Linked DNA regions of Pelodiscus sinensis. The main gene of each other region encodes a partner of the protein of the gene in region 3 in a complex. Links are inferred from orthologs where the notes say so. Each region holds a gene or a part of one and is shown on either strand. Other genes may lie near its edges. The genes, in order: LSM5, LSM8, PRPF4 and LSM7.

The links.
Region 1: PRPF4 (region 3) and LSM5 share a complex: the UniProt entries of both Homo sapiens proteins name them as parts of the precatalytic spliceosome. The link is inferred for Pelodiscus sinensis from reciprocal best matches to the Homo sapiens genes PRPF4 and LSM5.
Region 2: PRPF4 (region 3) and LSM8 share a complex: the UniProt entries of both Homo sapiens proteins name them as parts of the precatalytic spliceosome. The link is inferred for Pelodiscus sinensis from reciprocal best matches to the Homo sapiens genes PRPF4 and LSM8.
Region 4: PRPF4 (region 3) and LSM7 share a complex: the UniProt entries of both Homo sapiens proteins name them as parts of the precatalytic spliceosome. The link is inferred for Pelodiscus sinensis from reciprocal best matches to the Homo sapiens genes PRPF4 and LSM7.

Annotation. Positions count from the first base shown.
Region 1 is NC_134712.1:171,653,538-171,661,357, reverse strand, and holds the start of LSM5 (U6 snRNA-associated Sm-like protein LSm5), read right to left. Parts: upstream 3,009-7,820; 5' UTR 2,798-3,008; coding exon 2,752-2,797; intron 2,688-2,751; exon of another isoform or gene 2,664-2,687; intron 2,585-2,663; exon of another isoform or gene 2,392-2,584; intron 2,386-2,391; exon of another isoform or gene 2,196-2,385; intron 1,704-2,195; coding exon 1,608-1,703; intron 677-1,607; coding exon 649-676; intron 1-648. UniProt on the Homo sapiens protein: Plays a role in pre-mRNA splicing as component of the U4/U6-U5 tri-snRNP complex that is involved in spliceosome assembly, and as component of the precatalytic spliceosome (spliceosome B complex).
Region 2 is NC_134711.1:44,603,721-44,610,632, reverse strand, and holds the start of LSM8 (LSM8 homolog, U6 small nuclear RNA associated), read left to right. Parts: upstream 1-3,910; 5' UTR 3,911-4,025; coding exon 4,026-4,056; intron 4,057-6,003; coding exon 6,004-6,044; intron 6,045-6,581; coding exon 6,582-6,709; intron 6,710-6,912. UniProt on the Homo sapiens protein: Plays a role in pre-mRNA splicing as component of the U4/U6-U5 tri-snRNP complex that is involved in spliceosome assembly, and as component of the precatalytic spliceosome (spliceosome B complex).
Region 3 is NC_134732.1:1,348,825-1,355,671, forward strand, and holds the start of PRPF4 (U4/U6 small nuclear ribonucleoprotein Prp4), read left to right. Parts: upstream 1-3,838; 5' UTR 3,839-3,883; coding exon 3,884-3,970; intron 3,971-4,167; exon of another isoform or gene 4,168-4,427; coding exon of another isoform or gene 4,428-4,436; intron 4,437-6,710; coding exon 6,711-6,847. Other genes in the region: anaphase-promoting complex subunit CDC26, read right to left, coding at 1,429-1,605, 3,590-3,670. UniProt on the Homo sapiens protein: Plays a role in pre-mRNA splicing as component of the U4/U6-U5 tri-snRNP complex that is involved in spliceosome assembly, and as component of the precatalytic spliceosome (spliceosome B complex).
Region 4 is NC_134729.1:26,010,746-26,017,645, reverse strand, and holds the start of LSM7 (U6 snRNA-associated Sm-like protein LSm7), read left to right. Parts: upstream 1-3,878; 5' UTR 3,879-3,967; coding exon 3,968-3,973; intron 3,974-4,608; coding exon 4,609-4,699; intron 4,700-6,900. Other genes in the region: SPPL2B (signal peptide peptidase-like 2B), read right to left, coding at 3,720-3,779. UniProt on the Homo sapiens protein: Plays a role in pre-mRNA splicing as component of the U4/U6-U5 tri-snRNP complex that is involved in spliceosome assembly, and as component of the precatalytic spliceosome (spliceosome B complex).

The DNA.
Region 1 (7,820 bases), on a different chromosome or scaffold from region 3:
TCAAAACATGAAAAACTGACAATATGAGTAATGTTGCAAGGTAAGATAAATGCCTTCCTATCCTGGATTATACCTACTTTTTAACTCTTTATCTGTGGTCAAAGCAAAGAAGCAAACATTAAAACTAGTGGGAAATTCAACATGGATTTCAGATTTTAAAAAAAAAAGTCAAGGGTGTCAAACTGGAAACATTTTAAAAAACAAAGAAAATGTGACAGTCAGTCTGTGAAAATGACCTCAGTAGCCAATCCCTGCCCCCAAGAAAACTTACGTCAACTAGTTAAATGTAAAATGCTAATGAAGGAAAGGCAATGTATAGCTTTCACGCGACTTAGCAGGTCAAATTTAAAGTAGGGATGTAAAGAGTTAACCAGTTACTCAGCAAGCATTGGCCTTAGCAGCATGCTTACCTGGTAATTGGTTAACTGGAAGGTAGGGCCAGTGCGAGCAGCCCTCCTGAAGCGGAGCTGATTGGAGCAATCCCCCATCCGCAATGCAACAGAGCCAGCTAGAGAGGAGCCATTCCAATCAGCCACAAGCAAGCCCCCACAGCTTTTCTTTCTACTTTACTTTTGCTATAAATGGGAAAGAAAAAGAGAAAAGCACACAAATAGCCACACACACACAAAAAACAGAAACAATACTTACAACTCTGTAACATCCTCTAATACCATGTCTGAGGTCTACTGTCAAGGAAAACAAAAAACTAAAACATCCTTGATTTAATAATTTTATATTTCCATTTTATAAAAACAATGTAACTTAATTTTTAAAATAACTTCAGCTAGTGTGTAATATTTATCCATGCAAAAAGTAGAAGCATCTGTTCTAGCTAGGGATGTTAAGAGGCAAATATTTAATTAATCCAGTAGCCAATAGAATTTTTATTGATTACTCGATTTGTTGATAGGCAGCCCGGCTCGCACCAAGTGAGACACCAAGCCCCACTGCAGCTCTTCAATTTAAAAGGTAGTAGGAGCTGGGCAGTCTGCCCCCTGGTTTCTACTGCACTTTAAATTGAAGCCATAGCAGGGTTTGGTCCTGCACCTAGCGCAAGCTGGGACTCAGCCCAACCCTGTGCACCAGGGTCCCCGCAGCGAGTCAGGACCTTCTACGCACAGGGGCCGCTAATGCAAAGCAGCATGTCTGTGGCCAGGTAACCCCCCCTACCCCTGATAGAGACAGCACCGGCTCCTGCTCCTCCCTTCCCCATCTTGCTACCTATGTTCTAATAAACATAGAAGCTTCAGGGGGTAGCCAAGAGTCTGTACAGGTAAACTGAAAAAACAACAGATAGTCTGGTAGCACTTTATAGACTAATAAAACATGTAGATGGTATCATGAGCTTTCGTGGGCACAGCCCACTTCTTCAGATGACCGGAGTGTTGGATGTCTAGGACCAAAATAAATAGGGGAGACCAGGGGGGTGGGGTGTGGAAGAAAGGAAAAAATGGGAGGGGGAAGGAAGACAAGAAAAGGCTTATAAAGTAGTTGACTACTCCCTTACATCCCTAATTCTAGCTACCGGATATCCAAACAGCTAAATAATTAAGCTTACTTTAAAAAGAAAAGTGGGAATATTTGCCATTTACATTTTAAAAAGATACTGACAAAGTCATCAAATCCTAGGAGTGTGCCAACTATTTCTTTATCACTCTTCATCACAATATGAATACGTGAACCTATACATTTGTCCACAAGCTCTGCAAATAAGAAAATATTTTATGTAAGATTACATACAACTTAAAACATATATTAAGTGATCATCTTTTTAACACATTCCCTTTAAAGAACATGGTAAACCTGTACACTTTCAAAACGACTGCTCAGAACACTTACAAAAATCTTCTAGTCCCATACCCATAGAAGAGTTAAGCCAGCCTTGGGATGAGCCCTGAACCTCAGCACCCCCTCTTCTCTCCTTTCCCGGCCCCATGGGACTAGAGCTCGAGGGGAGTGAAGCTAGTGTCTTTCTCCTCCTTCTCAGTTCGGGGCCAGGTCAATGAGAGTTTCATTTATTTAGTTTCTCACTTGTGTGGCCCCCCCAACCGATTTTTCTAAGAGTCCCTCCCCCCTCTCGTTTCAGGGGCAGGCCAGGCCCAAGCCACCTAAAAAAAAAAGTGAGACAAGAGATGCCTGTTACTTGTCCATTAACGGAACCCTGCAATCAGAGTCCCAGGCAGGACCCTACTCACATCACGGGGCGTGCCCCGCACAAAACAAGACTGTGATGCCCGGCACCCCCCGCCACAGGCGCAGGGCAGAGCTGGCCACGGCTGTGTAGCGCGGGCTCGCCGCCGGAGCGACCCAAAGGAGCCCGCGCGACACCGCAAGGTGAGGCCACTTCCACTACTTCCGCCGGGGAGGGGCCGAGGGGGCAGCAAAACCCACACGCCGGAGCCGCCGCGGCCCGGCCCCATCAGATCCCCGCGGCGCCGCCGCTCTGCACCGACGTTCCATCGCTCGGGGCGGGCTGCGGCACAACCTGGCCCTGGCGCGCGCGCGGCCCCTTCCGCCCCTGGGCACAGACGTCACCGCCCTCCACGTTCCCTCGGCTTTCCAACGGCGGTAACGGCCCGCGCGACCTGCCTTCCTCCCCCCACCCCATCCGGAGAGGAGCCTCGGACTGCCCCTCCCCCACAGCGCCACCGAAAGCCGCCTACAAACAGATCAGCCTTCCCTCCGCCCCCGATCGGGGAATATCAGGGCACCCCGCGCCGCTGCGGGCCGAGGAGGGGGGAAGCTAGTTACCGAGCGGCAGGAGCTGAGACGGGTTGGTCGTGGCGTTAGCCGCCATATTGAAACCAGACCTGACCAATCGCCGCTATCGGCGGGTGGAAGAGAGAGGGGCCTCGGCCTGATGGATTGAATAACTCTGGGAGCCTCCCCCCGCAGCCCTAACCAATGGATGTCAGAGCAATCGTGCGCCCGCTTGGACGTAGCTGCAGTCTCCGGGCGCGCGCGCACAGCTGGAGCTCCTAGGCTCTGGCTGTAGAAGGCAGATGCCAGAGCCTGCTTTTCAGAGATGTTGGGCAGCATCCTACCCTCCCACTGCCTCCACGCAAATTCAATGGAAAATGGGCTTTTGGCAATGAGACTCCCTGTCCAGGACAGTTCCTTTTTTGTGGTAGCTGCCTCCGGAAATCTGCACAGGTGCACCACACATCCTGCCACCTGATGTATGGTTGGATGGGCTCAGGGTGATACTGGACATCCCAGGTTTTTATCCCTCACAGGTGGCAATACCACCTCCAATATGTAGGCCGGCCTACACTCAGAATGTCAATTGGTATACGACATCTCTCAATTCACTAGGCTGATGGGAAAATTCTAACCACCGCCTCTCAGGGAAGTAGTATAGGCAAAGCCTAAGCATTGTGGCCTTACTTTTGCATCTGGTAGCACCAGCAGGATAATGAAGGGCTCAAAGCAAATCTTATTTAATCAATTCCAGTGGCTACTGTAAACTTCAGGGAGGGTAATGAAGACCATATTTTATAGGGAAGCGTGACTTTGTCTTCCCTAGTTTTCAAAGTTTTTACATATGTGTCACCTTAGGTTTTCATTTCTTGGTTTCCCAAAACTTAAGTTAGGTGCTCTTCACATTCTCCTACGGCATAAGATGCCACTGGGCAACCTTAAGTCTGCATTAGCATTGGGTATTTAATTTGGTTAGCACTAACAATATGCATATACACACAATCCCAACTTAAAAGAATTCATGAACTAAAGATGGGACAGATACTCCATTGTGCATCGGCATCCAAAGTGCCAATACTTGAAGAGTGATGATGGTCCTAAATTCCGTGACTAGCCCTATTGACTGTGAGGTGCTGCACACCTTTCAGGAATTGTTGATGCTCGGCCACTTACAATAGCAGAACCAAAAAGACAACAAAAGTTTCAGAGAAAGAGCGCAGTGGAAGGAGCTTTTAAATCCTTTTTTATGTTCTTGTATGTTTGAAACTTAATTTTTAATTCCTTTTTATTTTGTTATTTTTGTTTTAGTCCTTCTCTTTTTGCGATTCACAAATATTTTTAAACTTTGCCTTTTCCACACTGGAAAGTTTATGAGAAAAGTTTGGTCAACATGGTGCCATCAAAAAAACTATTTCAACAGAGTGTGTTCACGCTTGTCTGTTGGTACCAGTGCGTTCTGTCCAGATAGTATCAACTTACATTACGGAAGACAAACTGCACTTTAGAAAGCCATCCTAGAGTCTTCCATGCCATCTTCCCACTGGAAATCAGAATGTATTGTGGGATACCTGCACACTTCTTAGCCCTGGTCTACTCTAGGACCTTATTCCCAAATATCCCCACCCCCCACTTCCCATCCCTGGTCAAATTTATAAGCTGTGTGTCCACACTACCAAGCTCGTTATTTCAAAAGAATGAATCACGGAATTCAAACTCTGTATTCAGGGGCGGACTGGCAATCAAAATAGGCCAAGGAAATGGGTTGAGAACAGCCGACTTTTTTACTTTTTCCACGCACACTATCTTTGTTCGTTTACACCATACTCGCACTGTTATTTATTGTCAGTTACGGAAAACCACAAACCCACAATGACAGATGATAACAGAACTCATCCAACCACTGCGTACTCTCTACTCACCGGTCAAGACTCAAGCGACTCCATCTCTGATTCCACCATTGCACAAAGCAGGCCTACGCATTGCTGTCATGCACCATCGTACATTGCACATTGCACGTCCGTTCTGTTGATTTCAACTGTAATGTGACGTCATTCACTTTGGCTCAAAGAAACAAAGGCCGAGCCAGTGTAGCAGCCCGACCATACCCGCATACACACACAGCCTCAGCCGCCTCAGATTTATTCAGAAACATTTTGAATTTTGGTATTATAGATTTTTTGGTCTTAGAACAGTGGCCTCCAACCTTTTTACACCCAAGACCACTTTTTAAATGTCAAAACAAGCCAGGATCTACCACTCCATCCTTCCCCCAAAACTCAACCCCTTCCTTGAAGCCCAGCCCTCTCTATTCTCCTCCTCTCCATTACCTGCTATCCCCAGCCCTTATACAGCTAGTCCCTAAGTTACAAACTCATCGACTTACAACCGTTCGTATCTACGACCAACCTCCTATACAGCTGGAACCCGAGTTACGAATGAAATCCGCACTTATGAACAGCGCAGCCATATGTAAGTGAATGTAATCCGACTTACGAACAGATTGAGTTATAACCTAGAGTTTGATACGTAACTCGTTCGTAAGTCAGAGACTGGCTGTACACTCTACACTGCCGGGGGTTTTTTTTCCGATTCTTCTGTAGGAAGAGGTTTTTCCAATATTTGGCCTGTCTGGATGGGACCAAATGTCAGAAAAACCCATTCTTTTGGAAGCCCCTTTATTCCTCATGGAATGAGGCATACAGGGCTTGCCGAAAGAGCATGTTTGCTCTTCCACTAAAAAAAGTGGAAGAACAAACGCATCCATGGACGCGGAAGAGTTTTTCCGGGATATCTCTGGAATCCTGAAAAAACTCCTGGGCTGTGTCTACACTGGCATGAATTTCCGGAAATGCTTAAAACGGAATACTATTCCGTTTTCAGTTTTTCCGGAAAAGGAGCGTCTACATTGGCAGGCTGCTTTTCCGGAAAAGCCCTTTTTCCGGAAAAGCGTCTGTGGCCAATGTAGACGTGCTTTTCCGGAAAAGAGCCCCGATCATCATTTCTGCGATCGGGGCTTTTTTCCGGAAAAGACTACTGGGCTGTCTACACTGGCCCTTTTCCGGAACAGTGTTCCGGAATAAGGACTTATGCCCGAGCAGGAGCAGAATAGTTTTTCCGGAATAGCAGCTGATTTTGTACAGTAGAGCATCATTGCTTTTCCGGAAATTCAAGGGCCAGTGTAGACAGCTCGCAGCTTATTCCGGAAAAGCGGCTGATTTTCCGGAATAAGTGGCCCAGTGTACACACAGCCCTGCAGTCTAACTGTACCCTCACTGGCTTGAGACAGGATATGTGGGCTCTGGGGTGAGCATGAGGGATTTGAGTGTGGGAAGGGGTGAGGGGTGCAAGCTCTGGGAGGAAATTTAGATGCAGGAGGAGGTGGAGAAGGGGATGCTGGATCAGGGAGGGGGCTCCAGGCTGGGGAGTGTTGGGGTCAGATGAAGGGGTGTGGTACTAAGTAAGCCACAGGCTTGTGGATGTGAGGGTGCAGGAATTTGAGTTGGAGTATGTCAGGGGCTCAGGGCAGGGGGTTCCAGTGTATGATAGGCTCAGATCTAAGATCTGGGGGGGAGGGGTGTGTGTGCAGGAGTGTTATGATGCTGTGGCCAGATCGGGGCTGGAGGTTGTTGGCCAGGCTTCATTTTTAAATAAAATACTATGACAAGCACAAAAAGTTTCTGCATTGTCTTTATTGATGAGAAGGGCAAGTAACCTGTTTTGAATCAGGGGTCACTGACTCACAGAAAAGTCAATTGGGCCACACAAGTGAGATGCAAAAAAAAAAAAAAAAATCTCCTCCAAAAACCCCCCAAGCCTCACTAATGTGGCCCTAACTGTGCTGGTGGGAGCAGGGGACATGGTACTAGGGAAGGGTGCTAGTGGGTACTGGGGCAGGGGACAGAGTGCCAGTGGGGACCGGGAGCAAGGTGCTGGGGTGGGGGCAGGGTGCCAGTGGGGGCAGAGTGCCAGTGGGGGACAGGGGACAGGGTGCCAGTGGGGGACAGGGTACCAGAAGGGAACGGGGAATGAGGGCAGAGTTTTGCACCAGGGCACAGGGTGCCAGTGGGGGCAGGGATTCCCCCACACCCGTCTCCTCCCGGGACTCCTCTCCCGTCCCCCTCCCCCTGCAGAGGAGGGAAAGCCCCACTGCACGCCTCCTCCGCGGACGACTCCACCCTCCCCCCCACCAGAGAGGAGAGAAAGCCCCTGCGCGCACCTCCTCTGGGGACTCCCACCACCACCACACCACTTCCCGGTATGCCACAGACCTGGGGGAGGGGAGCAGCCACTGCACTTCCAGAACCCCCGGAAGTGGCACGTAGCTGCCGGACTTCTGTCCACCCCGCAGGAAGCCACCACTACCTCCATTGTCACTGGAGGTAGGTAGTGGGACTTCTTGGGGGTGGGGGAAAATCAGAGGGGGTCCCCCAAACACCTCGCGATCGACTGGTCGAGTCCTTGCGATCGACCAGTCAATTGTGATCAATAGGTTGGTGACCACGGTATTAGAAGCTTCACGGTAGATATTATGGTCCATTCAGATGACGGCCCACCGGGAAATTCCTGGTATCCCGCCCGCCTAGTCTGCCCCATTTGTTTTCCTGTTTTTCATAAGTAGTAATGCTATCCCCATAATGACTAGGTACACATCACCTCAGGATGGGATGCAGAGATAAAATTTCCCACAAGGGGAGAGGCTATTATTGATTTAGTCCTAAGTGGAGTGCAGGATCTGGTTCAAGAGGTAAATATAACTGGATCACTTGGAAATAGTGACCATAATATGATAAAATTTAAAATCCCTATGGTGGGAAAAACACCTTAACAGTCCAACACTGTGGCATTTAATTTCAGAAAGGGGAACTACACAAAAATGAGGAAGTTAGTTAAACAGAATTTAAAAGGTACAATGACTAAAGTAAAATCTCTGCAAGCTGTATGGAAACTTTTCAAAGACACCATAATAGAGACCCAACTTAAATGTATACCCCAAATTTAAAAACACAGTAAGAGAACCAAAAAAGTGCCACCGTGGCTTAACAACCAGGTAAAAGAAGCAGTGACAGATAAAAAGACATCTTTTAAAAAGTAGACGCCAAATCCTAGTGAGGAAAATAGAA
Region 2 (6,912 bases), on a different chromosome or scaffold from region 3:
TTTGCTAAAAATGTATCTGACATGTGCATGTAGTGCACGCTCTACCTCAGCTGATGCTGGATGATCAGAGCCTCAATTGTAAAGGAATTGGCATTATCAAGATGATCAATCCTCCCACGTTTTGTTGTGGATTTTCCAAAGAAAATTCTGGTGTTTTCTATAGGTCACCCACATCTCCCAGTCATAGCAGAGACTTGGGATTAAATATGACTTTCTCAACTAAAAGTCTTATACATGTTCGGATGCTGTGATTGTAAACACCTGGCGAGGCAATCTGCCAAAGGCAAAGCTGGCTTTGACTCTTGATATTTATGGCTTCAGCTGAATGGCTTGTGTGAAATTTGGAAGAGCAGCTCAGAGAGACCTCTCTCCTTTACTTAAAGATAGAATCTCACAGAAGCCTGAAGGAAAAAGTCCTCGTGGCAGACAGAAAGCCTCGCTTGCAGTGTATCCTCAGCCTTAGGCTACTTATTGCTTCAAGAAAGCGAGAGCAATTCTCGTGTTGTGTGTTAGTTTTATTTAAAAGATTTTTTCTGAGTGTTATTTTAACAGGTAAATTAATCTCTTACGTTCACTGACTTAGCAAAGGAGGTGTGGGAGGGTAATTGCCATTCTGCTCCCCCTATCATACCTCTGTTCACCTGCTCCTCCTCTATCTACCACTGCCTGCTGAAGCCTCCTTCCTGCCTCTGCACCCACAGCCCGACCTTCCTTCTTCTTCAACGGGGGGATAGTGCCCGCCCCAAACTGGAGGGGGTAGGGAAAGATGTGGTACGAGCTCCCCCGCCCCCGTCGGGCTGAGCTGTGCACCAGGTTCGGGCCCCTGTCATGTGGTGGTGGAAGGGTGGCGGGTGGCATGCAAATTTTGCTTTTGCCCCATGGCGCATAACACCCTCGCTATGCCTCTGCCCCGATAACAACAGTGCACACCTGGTTACAGAGCTCTGCAACTTTGTTCTCACCCACAACTACTTCCAGTTCAGAAACAATTTCTATCTCCAAATTAGCGGCACAGCCACAGGCACTCGCATGGCACCACAATATGCCAACATCTTTATGGCTGACCTTGAACGTTTCCTCAGCTCTCGCCCCCTAATATCCCTACTTTACGTACACTACATCGATGACATCTTCATCATATGGACCCACAGAAAAGACATTCTTAAATAATTCCACAAGGATTTCAACAACTTCCACCCTACTATCAACCTCAGCCTGGGCCAGTCCACAAGGGAAATCCACTTCCTGGACACTACAGTACAATTAAATAATGGACAAATTTCCACCACCCTATATCATAAATCCACCGAATGCTACACTTACCTTCATGCTTCCAGCTTCCATCCCAGACACATTTTTCAGTCGATTGTATACAGCCAAGCCCTACGATACAACTGGATTTTCTCCGACCCCACCGACAGAGACAATCACCTACAGGATCTTTACAGAGCATTCCTAAAACTGAAATACTGGGGAAGTGAAAAAACAAATTGACAGAGACAAAAAAAATACCCAGACATGAACTACTTCAAGACAGGCCCAAAAGAGAAAATAACAGAATTCTTCTTGTTACCTACAGTTCACAACTCAGACCCCTCCAACACATTACACACAATTTACAACCCATCTTGGAAAATGATCCCTCACTCTCAGAGGCCTTAGGAGAAAAACCTATTCTTGCTTACAGACAAACCCCTAACCTGAAACGTATTCTTTCTGATAACTATGCCACACAACCACATCATAAGCCTTTAGGAACCCAGCCCTGCGACCAAAAAAGATGCCAACTCTGCCCACATATCTACACTGACGAATTCATAACTGGAGCAAACAACATAAGCCACAAAATCAAAGGGTCATTTGACTGCACATCTAGTAATTTAATCTATGCCATCAAATGCCAGCAGTGCCCCACTGCAATATATATTGGACAAACAGGACGGTCTCTGCAGGAAAGAATCAATGGACACATATCAGATATACGTAAAGGGAACATAGAGAAGCCTGTTAGTGAATATTTCTGTTTGCCTAACCACAGTTTTACAGACCTGCAAGCGGCTGTCTTGTCACAGGCCAGCTCCACAAGCCAGATACATAGGGAAGAACTGGAATCACAGTTCATCCACAAATTCAGTTCACATGCTAATGGACCCAATAGTGATATGGGCTGGCTAGGACACTACCTACTTAGTATCCATTGAAGGTGCTAACAGCTCTCTGAGTGGTATCCTTCCTGTCTTAGCAATCTTATCTATTGACTTTGATTTTTTATCTGCTTAGGTTTAAGTACCCATTCTCCAGATACTTAATGATGCTCTGTCTCACATCCCCCCTTCCTTTTTTCTTTTTCTCCCCCTCCCCTCTCCTATTTATTTCGATTTTTCATATCCCCAACTCATAACTCCCATCATCAGAAGAAGTAGGATGTCCCCACAAAAACTCATGATACCATCTACATGTTTTGTTGGTCTATAAAGTGCTACCAGACCATTTGTTGTTTTTTCCCCCTCCGAATGTGCCACAATTAGGTCACTGAGATCAAGTTAGCATGTAGCCTGACAGGAGGCTGCTACCTGCCTGAGATACACAGATAAGAAAATGAGTAAGGCTACAACACAGAGCTCCCAAGGCCTGCATTTAGTGTCCATACTGAGGCCACCTGATACTGAAGAGGAGAGTTTTATTCTGCCTCCAATAACATTCAGGTACCTCTGTAACACTTCCATCATAGCAAGAATTCTTCCTAAAAGATAGTCAAGGCTAGTGATTCTCACAACAAGCATTTTGGTGGCCTCAGATTGTGGCCATCAACTCTTGCTGGTGGTCATGCTAACATCTTTCATAAAATAAGAAATTAATGTAAACAGGGATTTAAGTAATTTAAAATTTATTACAGGTACTGTCTATGGAAACCTGGGTCCCTGCCAGCTCTTTGAATAGCTCCTTGCTGGCTTTTGCTGCAGCTCAGCCAGCTGTTGCCAGAGCTTAAGCTTAAGTTCACTTCTGAATTTAAGAAAAAACAAATTAATATACACACGTTTGCACATCCAGATCATTGCAATGTATGTATGTAGGGTTATTTCGCAGACGTAATAATAAACAAGTACTGTGATCAGTGATATTTATATTTGTTTAATAATCACTTTTCGCCAGACACCTGATAGCCACCTGGGAGGCTGTGAAAAAGGATAAGGGATATTAACCTACATACAAGTGTCACTTTTCACAGCTTCCCAGCAAACTAGTGTGTCTGCTGAGAAAAGCGGTACTTGAATGTTTAACAACAGCACTTTCCTCAGGACTAATTAAACCCTGGACAGGGGCGAGGGCCTGAGGGGGGCGGTGGGGGCGGCAGTGGGGCCCATGGCGGAACAGATGCTGGGCTGAGGGCGCAGCGGGAGCCCGGGGCAATGGGGTGATGGATGCAGGTTGGGGGGCTGAGCCCCGCCGCCGTCTGGAGCCGGGGATTGGCGCCCGCTGCCATGAGATGGGGGGAGGGGTCAGTGCCCGCGGGCCGGGCCGGGGCCAGAAGCTGGAGTTGGAGGCTGGGTCAGAACTTGCTGCCGCCTGGCCAAGGCGGTGGGGCGGGGCCTGCCCAGCGAGCCCAGAGACAAGCCGGGCGCCGCGCGGCCCAGGAGCTGAACCCGGAGCCCGACGTGCCGGAGCCCAGAGTCGGCACCGGCAGCCAGGGCTGGAGCACACGGCTGGGGGGTGGCCAGGATCCCGCCGCCCAACTACCCGGAGCCTCCATCCCGCCCCCCAGCTCCTTCAGCCTTGCGTCTCGCCTGGCTTCGCGGGGGAGGGGCCAGCGCTTTGCCCAGAGACTGTAACGGCCGCAGGAAACGCCTGGCGGCCACCGCAAAAAACACAGCCCCCCCCCCCCCCAACTGGCGTCATGCGCGCGCGTGCGCAGCGAGGCGAGCCAGCGGCGTCTCTGAACGTTTGGCGCGGGAACCCGCGAAGTCTCGCGGGAAGCGGTTGAGGGCCCGGTGCTAGCGAGAGCGCGGGACGGATCCGTCGCTGCCATGACCTCGGCGCTGGAGAACTACATCAACCGTATCCTTCCGCCGGCGGGGGCGGCTGGGGGGGGATTACAGCGCCCTGCTCCCCCTTTCCCTGAGGGTCTCGGCGGCGACCTGTATGGGAGGCTCCCCGCCCCGTGCCGGCCGGCTCAGCTGGTCCGGGCTGTGCGGGGATGGGGCTGAGCCATTGCTGCTCACGGTGCCTTGAGAGACCTCCCGGGGACGCCTGGCGTGGGGGCAGCGCGGCCTAGTGGGCAGAGCACTGAGCTGGGACTTGGCTCTGCCCAGTTAGGTGCCATGGGGCAAGTCGCTGCCAGTGCCTCAGTTTACCCAGTTGGAAAACGGGGACAATGAGAGTGACCCCGGCGGGGCTCCGAGGCTGAACACGCAGCTTGAAACGAGGGCAGGAGCGTTTAGTTGTCAGGGTGATTGTCTCACAGACCAGCCAGGGATGCGCCCGAATCAGCATCTCGGGGTGTTTTGAAGGGAAGACTGTTCGTTACTTGGAGTAATGTGCCCAGCACAAATGATGGTCAGTACGGGGTGAGCTGGGACCTGCAGATCAGACTCGTTACTCTAATGATCCAATTCTGGTCTTACATCTAGTGAATCTGTAGTCCAGAGTCAGAAACAGAGATGGGGGGGCATAACCAAAACTCTTTAGGGAGTCAGCCTAGACAGGGTGGCTGACACTGGCCAGGTGACAAAGAAAAATGCTTTCCTCAATATTTGGGGGTCTGCTGCTTTCTGTGAGTACAATTAGTGGACATGGGACAGGAAAATATCATGAGGGCAATGTGGGATAAACCTTTAGTTCCTCCTCATCTGACTCCTTACATTTGAACAATCAGTGCCTTGAGTTAAAGGCCACTTTGCTATACAGGCAGTCCCCGGGTTACGTACAAGATAGGGACTGTAGGTTTGTTCTTAAGTTGAATCTGTATGTAAGTCGGAACTGGCGTCCAGATTCAGCCGCTGCTGAAACTGATCAATTTCAACAGCGGCTGAATCTGGACGCCAGTTCTGACTTACATACAGATTCAACTTAAGAACCCCAGGCATCCCCAAGTCACCTGCTGCTGAAACTGATCAGCGGCTGATTCCAGGAAGCCTGGGGCAGGGGCTTCCTGTAGTCAGCCACTGGTCAGTTTCAGCAGCGGCTGACTTGGGGACGCCTGGGGCAGAGCAGCTGGGGTGCTGCTGGGTTGGTCCAGTAGCGCCGCCGCTCCTCGGCGCTACTGGACCAACCCAGCAGCACCCAAGCTGCTCTGCCCCAGGCGTCCTGATTCAGACGCTGCTGAAACTGACCAGCAGTGGCTGAATCAGGACGCCTGGGGCAGAGCAGCTGGGGTGCTGCCGGGTTGGTCCAGTAGCGCCCAGAGCGGCGCTACGGGACCAACCGGCAGCGCCCCAGCTGCTGTACCACAGGCGTCCGGAGCAAAGCCGCGGAGCCCGGGGGCAGCGGGACAGCCCAGACACGCCGTGGCTGTCCTGCTGCCCTTGGGCTCCTTGGCTTTGCTCTGCTTTGCTCCCCGTCTCCCTGGTCTGCAGACCAGGGGGACGGGGAGCAAAGCGGCGGAACACGTGGGCAGCGGACAGCCTCCGCCGCTTTGCTTCCTCTTCCTGGTCTGCTGGAGACCAGGGAGACAGGCCCCGTTCGTAACTGCGGATCCGACATAAGTCGGATCCGCGTAACTAGGGGACTGCCTGTATAGTTCTCCAGCCTTTAGGGAAAAAGGAAAACAGTGTGATGCTGGTTTGACCAAACAAAAAAAATTACCTAGATGACTGCTAATTTCAGAGGTTGATTTCATCACTCAGTTAACAGATTTCTTTAACAATTTTTTGAGTAAGAAATTCTTAAGGAACAGAGTCTAATTTCTTGCCTCATAATTTATATTACAGATTTTGTTGAACTTAACATATTGTTTCAAGCTGTGAATATATATATTTTGAAAGATTTCCTTGACTATACTGTTAGGCACTGTAGCAGTTATTACTTCTGATGGAAGAATGATTGTGGTGAGTATAAATTAGTACTATGCAAATAGTGTTGCTTGGAGTATGTGAGTTTTTAGAAAACAGAACATTCAACTTCTAATGGCAGATGCTACAAACAAATAAAGCTTGGAAACAGCTCATCTTGAACATTTCTCATCTTTCATACAGAACCTAAGTAATTTTTTTTATAAAAAGAGACATCACTTTTAAAAGTCTGTCAGTTTAAAACAAACAAGGAAAACTACAGCAGAAATGGTGAAACTGGCTATTTGTAAGGGGCTCTCTACTGCACAAAGTATGCTTGAAAAAAGTGACTCATATTCAAGTTACACTAATCTTAACTCCTTGCTACTTGTAATACATGATAGTAAATAATTGTCTTAAACTGACTCTGTTTTCAAGTTCCAGTCTCTAACAGAGTATGTGTTTATTCAGCTTTAAAACTCAGAATAAAATCTGTTAACTCTTCTATAATATACTGCTACCTGGGATATGCTTGTGACCTAAAATGAGAAACTTAAAGATAATTGGAATTCAAAATTTTTGTGCACTTTTTAGGGAACCCTCAAAGGTTTTGATCAGACCATCAACTTGATTTTGGATGAAAGCCATGAACGGGTGTTCAGTTCTTCACAAGGAGTTGAACAAGTAGTATTGGGACTGTATATTGTTAGAGGAGATAATGTGTAAGTACAGCTGCTGCTTTTTTCTAAACCAGTCAAATCACAATTAGTTAATGTTATAAATTAAAGCTGTAGTGATGCAAGATGTCAGGTTGATAGCCCTAGAAACCCTAAATTATTTTTACTCACATGTTCAGAACATACGGTAACAGCAAACCTGCCTTGGCCTTTGATGTAGTAGGCAAACATCTCTAGAATGACTAAAA
Region 3 (6,847 bases):
GCCGAGACTCAGTTTGTGTAACCCAGCTCTCTCCCTTTAGGCCCCAAATAAGTGACGGAATTCCAGCCCTTCAGCTGACCATGACCTCACTCAGGCCTTACTTACCCTAACTTACCCAGTGACTGATGCTGCAGAGACCCTCAATCAAATGCTGAGGGTGCGCTGTTGGCCCAGGTAATCCACGGGGGTGTGAGGAGTAAGGAAAGGCCAGGGAAGAAGTTTCTCCTGCTGACCTCCTACAGTGGGGACATTGTGAAAATATGACTTTAGCACAGCTAGAGCTGATGTACCTTCTCACGTAGCCGGAGTGGTGGATCTTACGTTACATTTCTCCCCAGCATAGACCTGGCCTCAGAGAACTGCTGGCCATGCAGCTAGTTAACCCTAGCGTTGCTCATTTTATCTCAAACTGTGTATTTTGCTGGTCCGCCTCCGCCAGAAACCAATCCACGTAGGGGTATATTGTTTGTGACCTTGAGTTAAGTCACCATGATTGGTGGCCTTCACTCTCTACCGCAAACACCCCGCAGCATTCTTAAAATTCCTATCAGCTACAGGCTAGTCCCTCTGCCATTTAATTATTTACTGCTTCCATTGGCCAAGTCAAACTTCCCGATCAGAAACCCCCCACAGCAAGTCATGCTTCCCAGCCAGGCTATTGCACTGTTTGCAGTACGTGGAGAACGAGATTGGATTGGGAAGGGGTTCTGAGCCTTCCACCTCAGCACGGCAGTACGAAAGCAGCTATGGTGTGATGACTGAAATGAGTTGAAGTCTAGCTCATTTCTTAGTAAATTAGCAATGCATGCACCAGCCATTGCCACTGGCTCCTTGCAGCACACCCGCAGGAGCCAAGCACTTGACAACTTGCAGAGTCTAGGGAAGCTTGCCCTGCCTCTCCCTAGTGTGGGGAGAAACCAAGTCTTTCACATACCAATGCCCAGTCCATTACACTGCACCATTTGGAGCTGGGCTTTCAAGAACACTGAAAGGACTGCTCTAGGGAGGCAGAGCTTTGCCTCTGTGCCAATCCCCATGAGGCAGTGGCCATGGTTGACTCCTGTTTTTGTCCCATGCAGGAGGCCAATCTGCTGTTAAAAATTTTCTGTTTGCCTTTAGGAGCCCCATGTGCATTTTCTGATATGTTGAGTATCTCATTTAAAAAAAATATTTATTTAAAACAAAGTGGCTGGGCAGAGAGATCTCTGGAAATGCAGTAATCAGTCAAGTTAAAACACACCCACTAGTCTTTGAAAGAGGCAAACACTTTCCCTTATTGAAGCCCGAGACTCGTTGGCAAATCCGGGCCAGTCCCAGCCAGCTCTAGAGCTATGCAAACAGCCTTTGAACATCTTTGCCAGAACAGTCTGGAACGCAACCTCAGAGTCCAATGCTCAGCTGCCCACAAAGTAGCAGGCCCCCTAAACTCTAGAATTCAAAGCTTCCGAACTGGGAGGAACGGTTGCTGGGTTTGGGTTGAGGTTTGTAACCGATCCGGTCATTTATCATTTGTTCTCGGCTCTTATGGTCATTGCTCAGACCAATAGCTCCTTCTTCCTCGTTGGCTCCCACTCCATCCACCTCTTCACGCTGCTTCTTACGACTCTGCCAAAAAAAAAAAAAAAAAGCAATCAACTAAAAATAAGGACAATGGAAAACTAGAGCTCTTCCATCAAAGGGATCTTAGCAGTGTCGAGACATCCATTTCAGTTCTGACCACTGACCTCAAAACTGTGAAGGCAGGAAAAATGGTAGATAAGCTGATTTCATTCCAGGAAACCTGCTTACAGACTGAATAAATTCCCTGGGCATTTTGCATAGCCATAAGGAGGGAAATACATTGTTCTGTAAGAGTTAATACACAAGTCACGGCATTCAGACACCTCCCTACCTACATAGACACAAACGGCTACCAATTCACAGAGCTGATGCTACCGTCACACAGGGGCACAACAAGTTAAAGGACTTAGTCAAGCCAAGTCTTATACTCCACTGTGACGGAAATTCAACTGCTCAGGATGTTTAGAGAAACTAACTCAAAATGGGGGGACGGAAGGAAGGTTGGGTGTGTGATAGGTTGCCCCCTGATGTAGTAGGATACTAATAAGCCCCAACCTATTCTGCCAGCCTGGGCACCCTTTAATCCTGTCTTGCTGAGTCAGACTCTTAAACCTCCTCCAGCCTGCGCCCACACACAGGGCCACATCCAGTTGCAGAAAAACACAGACACTGAGCTCAGCAGTGGGAAGACTCAAGGAATTTGCCTCATCACTCAGGTACCCACCTTCCTTGGAATGCAAACCCAAGAGGATCTACCCTCTCTCAATGTGGCATGCAGAGCCTCTTACCAATTTCACAAACTGCGTTTCACAAGAAATAAAATCAAGTTTACTGACTAGAAAGGGTAGATTTTAGAGTGAATGTAAAGGACAGCACACAGAACAAAGATTACTGAGCAAGTAAAATATACAGACTCGATGCACTAAAGACACAGGCTACAAATAGTACTGTCTCACCCTAAATGTTATCTTGGGCAGATTGCAAAGATTCTTGAAAGTCAGTTACAGTAGCCTGCAGCTTAAAACTTCAAGTATTACTACTCAAAGAAAGTCACCCTTCTAGCCTGGGCTCAACTTGTTGCACCTCAGTTCAGTCCTTGTTTCCAGATGTGTCTGGGAGGCAGAGAACTACAATGTCATTCTCCTGCCTCATAGCTTTTGTATATGCCATTACATCTGCCAATGTAAATACTGTGTTTGACCCCAATAGCTGTAGGTCAGGGATGAGCAACTATTTTTTGCTAGGGGCTACTTAAAACATTTTGTAAGTGGCCTCAGGCTACTCCAGAAGGGGCGGGGCTTCCAACTGAAGGGGCAGGGCCAGGATGTTTCTGGGCTTCCCCACCCTCAGACCATGATTGGCCTGGGGGTGGGGGAGCCCGGAGGCACCCATGCCCCTGGCACTGGGAGGAGTCTTCCCGCGGAGGCTCTTTTGCCCACCCCTGCGGTTGGTGCATGTATACAGATGGGCTCTGTCTACACGGGCAGTTTCTTGTGCAAGAACAACTGTTCGTGCGCAAAACCTTGTCTGCTGTCTGCACTGCGCACGTGTTCTTGTGCAGGTAAATTCACAGCACAGCGTCGGAAAACAGCTTCTTCCGGACGAGTTACTCCTGTCCCCTCGAGGGACGAGCCCTCTTGCGCAAGAGGCCGGTGTCCACAGGCAACGGCAGAAGCCCTGTGGCTAAAACGGCCATGGGAGCTCCCTGCGCAAGAGCGCCCAGCTGCCAGGGATGCGCTTGTGCGAAAGCGCCCGCCGGTGCAGAGCGGCCTGGAGCTCGCGCAGCGATCGCCCCGCAGGGACATCACGGCCGCTCCCCCCCGCCCCTCGGGGCCGCCTGCGCGTGCGGGAGAGCGGGGCCTCGCCAAGGGGGCCGGGCCGGGGGGGGGGGCGGGGGGCCGGGGGAGCCGGGGGGGGGGGGCCGGGCGGAGGGAGCCGGGGGGGCGCCGGGGGGGGCCGAGCCGAGCGGGGGGGGGGGGCCGGGCCGGGGGAGCTGGGGGGGCCGAGCCGGGCCGGGGGGGGCGCTCACCTCCAGCTCCTTCCGGGTGCTCTCGAACTCCTCGATGTCGTCCAGCTTCAGCTCCAGGCGCGTGGGCTTCCGGCGCAGCATCGCGGGGGGGCGGAGGGGTCAGCGAGGCGCGACCAGGGCGGAGGGGGGGAGCGCGCCGATCAGCTCCCGCGCCCCGCGCCGGCCCCTCCCGTCAGGCCCCGCGCACCTTCCGGAACGCCGGCCTGCCCCCGGAAGCACAAGCGTCCCGCTCCTCCCCGGGACCCGGAAGCGGAAGTGACGCCTGGCCCGGGGCTCTCGCCCCTCCGGACTGACATGGCTTCCTCGCGGCCTCCCGCCCTGCGCGGCGCCCCGGGGCGGGCGGCGCCTTCTCCCCAGCCGGGCCCGGCTCCCTCCCCGCGGGTAGGGCCCGCTCGGCCTCCTCTGCCGCTTCCGCCGCGCAGCAGCCCCCCCCGCCCCCTCCGCACCGGGCGGCCCTGGCCTTTGTGGCGGCTTCTCTCTTAAGAAAAGGAGCCGCCGCCGCCTGCTCTGCGAGCCCCGCGCTTACCTCGCCCGGCCCGCTTCCTGCCAGGGCTCGCTCCGAATGTCCAGTGCCTGGGGGTTACTTGAGCCTTGAGCGCAAGGGCTACTCGGGACCCTTTCAGGCCTCTGGGTACGCGCTGCTTGGCAGCCCTCCTGGGCACATGCCCGGCACAGTCCATTCAGACCCATCTGTAGGACTAACTTTTTCAAATACCGTCTTGAGTTTTGTTCCACCAAAGGATTGAGAGCCACACGCCAACTGGGGGAAATGTCAAATAATTGGGACCATTGAGGGCACTCTCATTGCAGAAACAAAAAAGCATGTATATGTGCAGTTATGCCAGAGGTATTATGAGATCATTGGAAATGGATTCTTTATTTAGGGAATAGAATGTTATAATGTGGTAACTAGTTGATTTGACTTTTGTGTGTATTTTGGAAAAATTGGGGAGTAAAGTGAGGCAGTCAGGGTGTCAGTGAGGTGGATAATAGAGGGGAAGGAATTTGCTGAATCCTTCATGTTCATAGTTACATTTCCCAGTAGTCTGAGATCTTTGTTTTTGAAGGTCTTAATTATTTGTAAGGAGTGTAATTTTGTTACACATAGTAGCTGGACTCTATTGAAAACATTGTCTGCCTTAATCGTGATCTGCAAATTGGTTTGTGTTCTTTATGCACTACAGGCAGTCCCCGGGTTACGTACAAGATAGGGACTGTAGGTTTGTTCTTAAGTTGAATCTGTATGTAAGTCGGAACTGGCGTCAGCCGCTGCTGAAACTGATCAGTTTAAACCGCGGCTGAATCTGGACGCCAGTTCTGACTTACATACAGATTCATCTTAAGAAACCCAGGCGTCCCCAAGTCAGCTGCTGCTGAAACTGATCAGCGGCTGATTCCAGGAAGCCTGGGGCAGAGCAACTCTGCCTCGGGCTTCCTGTAGTCAGCCTCTGGTCAGTTTCAGCAGCGGCTGACTTGGGGATGCCTGAGGCAGAGCAGCTGGGGTGCTGCTGGGTTGCTCCAGTAGCGCGGCTCCTCAGCGCTACTGGAGCAACCCAGCAGCACCCCAGCTGCTCTGCCCCAGGCATCCTGATTCAGCCGCTGCTGAAACTGACCAGCAGCAGCTGAATCAGGACGCCTGGGGCAGAGCAGCTGGGCTGCTGCCGGGTTGGTCCGGAGCGGCGCTGCGGGACCAACCCGGCAGCCCCCAGCTGCTCTACCCCAGGGGTAGGCAAGAAAAGCCTGGTCTGCTGGGGGGGGGGCACTAGCTGCACCTCCCCCACCCCTCCAGCAGACCAGTAAGACGGGGGTGGCTGGACCACCCAAGTCCTCCACGGCTTTGCTCCATCTCCCTGGCCTGCTGACTTGGGAGACGCGGAGCAAAGCTGCAGAGCACGCGAGCAGCGGGACAGTCCAGGCGCGCCGCGGCTGTCCCACTGCGGGCGTGCTCCGAGGCTTTGCTCCCCATCTCCCTGGTCTGCTGGTCAGGAGACGGGGAGCAAAGCCGCGGAGCACGCCCGCAGGGGGACAGCTCAAGTGTCCCGCTGCGGGTGTGCTCTAAGGCTTTGCTCCCCGTCTCCCTGCAGACCAGGGAGACAGGGAGCAGCTTTTCTCGCCCCAAAGGACGGGGGCGGCGGACCGCGGCGCATCTGGGTGTCCTGTCCTCCGGGGCGAGAAAAGCCCCGTTCGTAACTGCGGATCCGACATAAGTCGGATCCGCGTAACTCGGGGACTGCCTGTAGTCCAATGGATAAAGAATGATTAAAAAGGATGGATTTTTAAAGTTTGTTTTTTCTGCTTGTTTTTTTACATGAGAAATTAAGGATGTATCTAAGTTAGAAGGCTCCCTGATGGAGAACTTGTGAAATTATGCAATTGTACTGTCATAATTATGACATAAGATCAGAGATGCTTGAGCTTTTAAATTGAGAAAGGATTACTTTTTAAAATTTTTCTTCTGTTTACTTTTGATAAAAGCTATTTAGATTTGAAGGCTAACTAATGTTTTGAATAATGAAATTCCTTGGTTCAAAATACCTTATACTACCCAGAAGTCCCCCAGCAAAGCCAGGGAAGGGCAGACTACATTCTCAGGGTTTGTTTCCACATGGACTTATTTAGGAACATCTCTGTGCGCATGCTCAAATTCTGGAGCATTACATGTGGTGTAATGCTTTAACTGAATCCGGAGGAGCAAGGCGTCATTGGTATTCCAGAATAAGAGCATTCACACAGATTTAATCAGCATCCTACCTTAATCTCAATTAACTTTGAAGTGTAGCCCCAAAGGAAGAACCTAGCAGGGGAGCAAAAGGCTAAAGAAAGCCTGAGAGCATATTTGGTAACATCATAAAGAAGCAGAAAAGATCACAAGTCCAATTTTTAAAAACATCCTTGGCTTGCTGCCCTCTAATTCTACTTTAACACATTTTCAGTGAGGAATAGTCTTGCTGTCCAGATGAATCTTGTATATAAAATGTAAGGGCTTCTTGCCTGGCTGACCTTGTTAACTATTTCTCACTGGGGGATGCTGTCTCCTGCAACTGAGGAGATTGCTGAATTGCTGCTTTGTATCTGAATAAATATCAAATGAGTCTTTTGAAATCCTGCCTTCATTCTCCAGGGAACAAAAAACAAACTGTTGGAGGACAGCGATGCTCCACTACCCAAGAGATCCCATATCTTCTATGGCAGTTTGGAGGAGAAGGAGAGGGAGCGTCTTGCCAAAGGAGAGTCAGGACTGCTGGGGAGAGAGAGAGT
Region 4 (6,900 bases), on a different chromosome or scaffold from region 3:
TGGATTCTGTTTAGGGATGTAAGCATAAGCGTATTGTATAGTCAAGTAGTGACTTGATTAGTTACTCCCCCACACCGCTGCCTCTATCAGAGGCAGCAAGGATGGGGAGCAGGAGCCGGGGGGAAGTCGGCTTAATAGCTGGTTTTCCCCAGCACCATCTCTGCAGGGAGCAGGGGAGGCAGAGGCACAGCGTGGGACCAGGGACAAGTCTGGTGGGTCTTAATACATTTAAAAGACAGAGCCAACAACAGGGTTAGTTCTGCAGTTTCCCCCCTTATCGACTAGTAGATTCAATGCAATTTAACATCCCTAGTTCTGTTATTTTTAAATGTTCTCTCTAGAATGCTTTTCACCTTAGGACTAAAGTAGGCTTGCACGGGTAGCGTGGTGGAGGGTAACATTTGTTGCAATTACACTTGTCCTTGAGCACACCTGTCTGTCCTAGAAAATACACAGGGAAGACAAGAAACTAAGCAGCCTGGAAATATTCCAGTCACAAAGGAGAGAGAAACAAGGATCTCTACCGAGAAAGGCAACAGCTGGGGAGCTGGATGCTTGAGAATGGGTACTTGCTGGACCACTGAGGGGAAATACAGGCCAGAAGCCAGTCAATAGGATTGCACTGGGGGCGAAAGCAGTTCCTAAATCCTTCCCCCTCCGGGCTCAGGTTTTAAAGTAAAATCACCCCACAGCCGTATTTCTGAGCAACATGCGGGTGAGGTGAGGCAAAAGAAAAAGATGGGTGGTGGTGGTTGGGGACTCCCTCCTAAGAGGGACTGAGTCATCCATCTGCCATCCTCTCTCACAGAACTGGAAGGGATCTTGAGAGGTCATTGAGTCCAATCCCCTACCCTCATGGCAGGACCAAGTACCATCCCTGACAGATTTGTCCCAGATCCCTAAATGTCCCCCTCAAGGATTAAACTCACAACCACGGGTTTAGCAGGCCAAGGCTCAAAACACTCAGCTATTCCTCCCCCCACTATAGAAAGGATGTGGACGCACTGGAGAAGGTCTAGCAGAGAGTGACCAAAATGATTAGGGGGCTAGAGTGCACGACCTATGAGGAGAGACTGAGGGATTTGGGTTTGTTTGGGCTGCAGAAGAGAAGAGTGAGAGGAGATTTGATAGCAGACTTCAACTTCCTGAATGGAGGTTCCAAAGCGGATGGAGAGATGCTGTTCTCAGTAGTGACAGATGGCAGAACAAGGAGCAATGGTCTCAAGTTACAGTGGGAGAGGTCTAGGTTGGATATTAGGGAAGACTATTTCACTAGGAGGGCTGTGAAGCACTGGAATGGGTTATCTAGGGAGGTGGTGGAATCTCTATCCCTAGAGGTTTTTAAGTCTCAACTTGACAAATCCCTGGCTGGGTTGATTTAGTCCTGCTTTGGGCAGGGGGTTGGACTCGATGACCTCTGAGGTCTCTTCCAGCTCTATGATTCTATAAGCGGGAAGCCTGCCTCAGGCTCCCCGCAGCACCTGCAGGCTCTATTTTGCCCAGACTTGTCTGAGTACAAGACAAGAGACAACAAATGGTTACAGACAGGTGGTAGGTGAATACAAGAAAACAGAGAAAATAAAATAAGAACATAAGACCAGCCATACTGGGTCAGACCAAAGATCCATCTAGCCTGGTATCCTGTCTGCAGACAGTGGCCAATGCCAGATGCTCCAGGAGTAAACACAACAGGTGATCATCACACGATCCCTCTCCTGTCATCCATTTCCAGATAGAGGCTAGGGACACCTTTCCTACTCATCTTGGCTCATAGCCATTGATGGACCTAACCTCCATGAACTTACTGAGCTCTTGTTTGAACCCCATTAAAGTCCTAATCTTCACAAAATCCTCTGGCAAGGAGTTCCACAGGTTGATTGTGCACTGAGTAAAGAAAAACTTCCTTTTGTTGTTTTAAACCTGCTACCTATTAATTTCATTTGGTGACCCCTAGTTCTTCTATAATAGGAACAATTAAATAACTTTTCCTTATTTACTTTTTCCACACCAGGCATGATTTCATAGACCTCTATAATAACCCCCTTTAGTCTCCTCTTTCCTAAGCTGAAAAGTCCAAGTCTCTTTAATCTCTCTTCATATGGGACCCATTCCAAACCCCTAATCTTTTTTTCCCCCTTTTCTGAACCTCTTCCAATGCCAGGATATCTTTTTTGAGATGAGGTGACCACATCCATATGCAGTATTCAAGATGTGGGCATACCGTGGATTTATATAAGGGCAATAACATATTCTCTGTCTTATTCTCTATCCCTTTTTTAATGATTCCTAACATCCTGTTTGCTTTTTTGACTGCTACTGCACATTGCGTGGATGTTTCTAGAGAACTATCTACAATGACTCCAAGATCTTTCTCTTGAGTAGCTGTAGCTAAATTAGTCCCCAACATATTATACGTATATTTGGGATTATTTTTTCCAATGTGCATTACTTTACATTCATCAACATTAAATTTCATGTGCCATTTTGTTGCCCAGACACTTAGTTTGGTGAGATCTTTTTGAAGCTCTTCACAGTCTGCTTTGGTCTTAATTAACTTGCAGATGATACTAAATTGCTCAAGATTTCCCACCTCACTGTTAATCCTTTTCTCCAGATCATGTATAAATAAGTTGAATAGGATTGGTCCCAGGACACACCCCTAGGGGACACCACTAGTTACCTAAGCAGTGGTCTCAACACATCAGCAACATAACCATTGGCAAGTTTATTTTTTGTAGGCACCACAGCAAAGGAGTATTTTTAAGGGGGTTTTGTAGGAGAATAATAAGTTTGTTGTGCAGATTTTTTGGGGAAAGTCCTTCCGAACATGAGGGGTAACATGAGAGAAAGCAAGCTGGTGCCTGTTAGAAAATTTAACAAAGACTGAGAATTTCAGGACACATGATAACATCAAGAAAAAATGTCCACTTGGCGCTTATGCACGATTAAGTATTCTGATCCACACCCCCTTTTCTGCAGAGTATACTGGTAAAGACTCCTATGAATGGGAAGAGAAAGCTGTTTTCAGGAACTATGAGGAAGTCACAGTTTTGTCAATGCTAAATGGTATGTCCTATACTACAAATCGAAACGGACATATCAAGTCAGCTTACAGTGATGGTGCACGTCCATACCACCCTCCTTGAGCCAGTGGCATATGCCCTAATCAGGAGTGCTTCCACCAGCCTAGGAGGGGCAGTGTGGGGAGCTGGGAGCCCAGTCTCTCAGCCCCACTGACAGCTCCCTGCCAAGGCTGTTGGGCTCCCAGCAGTGGCTCTGCCTCCCAGCTGAGAGAAGGGCCCAAAGCGGCCCCAGCTTCCGATCCGGGCTCCCAGCCACGAGCCCCCCAGGGAAGCCGGGGCCTTTCTTGTCCGTTTGCAACGAAAGCAGCAAGACCGCCCCAAACCCTGCGTCTGGGCCAACACCAGCCCCACGCCGGCGGGCGGAGGAGTCTTCACTTCGGCCTAGCGGGGCATGTGCGGACTGGGGGAGCACTAGGGCGCGGGCGCAGCGGTGGAGTCCAGCCCCGGGAAATGCCAGCGCAGGCGGCCGGCTGCCGGGCACGTCGCTTCCCTCGGGCTGCAGCGACTAGCGGGGCCGCGCTCTCCCCAGCACGGCCCGGGCCCGCACCTCCAAGGCCGCGCTCGCTCGCCGAGCGGGGCCCGGGGCCGGGCACGTCGGAGCGGGCGGGGCGGGGCCCAGGCCCGCGGGGGACTCACCTGGCTGACCAGCAGCAACAGCAGCCCGGGCCGGACCCGGCTCGCCAGCGCCGCCACCATCCCGCCGCCGCCCCTATTGTCCCGGAGCAGGGCCCGTTACCCAGCAACCCGGCCCCTCCGCCCGGAAGTCCCGCCTCTGCGAGGGGGCGCAGCGGCCAATCAGAGGGCAGGGCCGTGACCCCCCCCCCCCTCCTCCGGAAGTGGCGGGGTGAAAGCGCAAAAGGGCGGGGGAGCTTGGCACGCGCAAGATGGCGGTGAGTTTCGGGCCTGGCGGTCAGCGCCGGGGCCCTGGCGCGAGCCTTTGGCTCAGGACCGGAAGCGGGGAGGGGGAGCGGGAACGGGCCCCCCCCCCCGGACCGAGCGTGCGGGGGGGGCTCCGCTTGGAGACGGGTTTTACTGGGCCAGGCCCCCCCCGGCTGTTGTGCGGTTCGCGGGGGGGCTTCTCTCGCACCCCGGGTTGGGGGGGGGGGGCTTTTGGCGTCCTGCCTTGACTCCCGAGCGTTCCTGTGCGCCCCCCCCCCCCGTGCCTCTGCCAGGCCTGGGTGCTCCCTCGCCCCCTCTGTTCCCCTGGGGGCCGCCTGCACCCCCTCCCCGCCCCGCCCCTCCAGCCACCTTTGATTTGACGGGCCTGGCTAATGAAGCTGCATCCTGCGAGGCCTTTGGGCCATCTAGATCCAAACAAAGGTCGTTTATGGGGATGCTCAGCTTCTCTGGCTAATCCGTCATTTGAAGGCACCTCTAGGCGATGCTGACTCCCACGCTTGTAATTAAGCAGGGCATTCTGGCACTGTCTGTCTAACGCTTAATCATGTATTATTAATTATTAAACATGGAACCAAGAGAGGATTCCAATTTACTTTTTAGTTATGTCACTCTGCCTTTTCTTTAGGATAAAGAGAAGAAAAAGAAAGAGAGCATCTTGGATCTCTCAAAGTATATTGACAAAACGATTCGAGTAAAATTCCAAGGTGGTAGGGAAGGTAGGTTTTAAATTAAATGATGCGGGTTTGCAAATCATAATTCATTGGCAACATAATGAATCCCACAGCTGTAATCCTAACTGCTTTTTGTCTCCTAAATTCCTCCCATGTACTCCAGTAACACCAATGCATCCTGTGATCTCCCTGCTGGTCACTCTTATTACTTCCCTCCCCCCTCCTCCCCTATTCTTCTACTTAACCCCTGACTCTCTTCTGGTTCTCTTGCCTCACCAAGCAAATATCAGTTTCTTCCATCTTAAAAATATCACTCTTGTCTCCACTTGCTTCTCCAGTGACTGCTCTGTTTCTCTTCTGTCCCTCTCTAAGCTCATTGAATGCCTGTCTGCAATTGCTGCCTGAAGTTCCTCTCCAGTTCAATCCAAGACTCTCCAGTCAGGCTTCCACCCCTTCCACTCAGTCCAAATTGCTCTCTCCAAAATCTCTAATGGATTTTTCCTAGCCAAAGCTCACATCTGGTACTCTGTCCTCTTGCTCCTTAACTTTACCCACTACCTTGGGCACAGTTGACCATGTTTGTTTGGGTTTTTTTTAAGTCCTTGTGCTCTTCTGGTTCTCCTTCCACCTCTCTAATTGCTCCTTCGTGTCCATTGGGTGATCTTCATTCCTACCCCCCAGTAGGGGAGGGAGGATTTCTAAAGGGCTGTCTTTTTGGTCCCTTTCTTGTCTCCCAAAACAGTTTATCTCTGAATTGTCTCATTTGCAAACACAAATTCAGCTACTTTCTCTATGATGACTCTGAGATCTACCTCTCTACTTTCAGAGTGGTAGCCATGTTAGTCTGGATCTGCAAAAGCGACAAGGAGTCCTGTAGCACCTTATAGACTAACAGATGTATTGGGGCAAAGCTTTTGTGGGCAAAGACCCACTTCATCAGATGCATGTAGTGGAAATATCCAGAGGCAGGTATAAATATGCAGGCCAGAATCAGGCTAGAGATAATGAGGATAATCTCTGATCCAGAGATGTCATTATTCCCCTTTATTCGGCTTTGGTGAGGCCACATCTGGAGTACTGTGTCCAGTTCTGGGCCCCCCACTACAAAAAGGATGCGGACGCATTGGAGAGGGTCCAGCGGAGGGCAACCAAAATGATTAGGGGTCTGGAGCATATGACCTACGAGGAGAGGCTGAGGGACTTGGGTCTGTTTAGTCTGCAGAAGCGAAGAGTGAGGGGGGACTTGATAGCAGCCTTCAACTTCCTGAAGGGAGGTTCCAAAGAGGATGGAGAGAGGCTGTTCTCAGTAGTGACAGATGGCAAAACAAGGTGCAATGGTCTCAAGTTGTGGTGGGAGAGGTCCAGATTGGATATTAGGAAAAACTATTTTACTAGGAGGGTAGTGAAGCATTGGAATGGGTTACCTAGGGAAGTAGTGGAGTCTCCATCCCTAGAGGTGTTTAAGTCTCGGCTTGACAAAGCCCTGGCCGGGTTGATTTAGATGGGATTGGTCCTGCCTAGAGCGGAGGGCTGGACTTGACGACCTTCTGAGGTCTCTTCCAGTTCTATGATTCTATGATAAGGGGATGGTTGGATGAAATAACATGATCTTGGTAACTAATTGACCATTCATTATAGGGAACTTTCTGGGTGTCTGGCTGGTGAGTCTTACCCACATGCTCAGGGTTTAGCTGATTGCCATATTTGGGGTCAGGAAGGAATTTTCCTCCAGGGTAGATTGGCAGAGGCCCTGGAGGTTTTTCGCCTTCCTCTGTAGCATTGGGCACAGATCACAGCTGAAGGACTCTCTGCATGTTGGGGCCTTCAAAGTATTTGAAGGCTTCAATATCTGAGACATAGGTGAGAGGATTATTCTAAGAGGGGTGGGCGAGATTCTGTGGCCTGCACTGTGCAGGGGGTCAGACTAGATGATCATAATGGTCCCTTCTGACCTTAAAGTCTATGAGTCTATGAGATTAATTCAATCTAGCTATATACATCGGCCATACTGGACAGTCCCTACATAAAAGAATAAATGGACACAAATCAGATATTAGGAATGGCAGTATACAAAAACCTGTAGGAGAACACTTCAGTCTCCCTGGACACACAATAGTAGATCTAAAGGTAGCCATCCTGCAGCAAAAAACCTTCAAGATCAGCCTTCAAAGAGAAACTGCTGAGCTACAGTTCATCTGCAAGTTTGACACCATCAGCTCAGGATTAAATAAAGACTGTGAATGGCT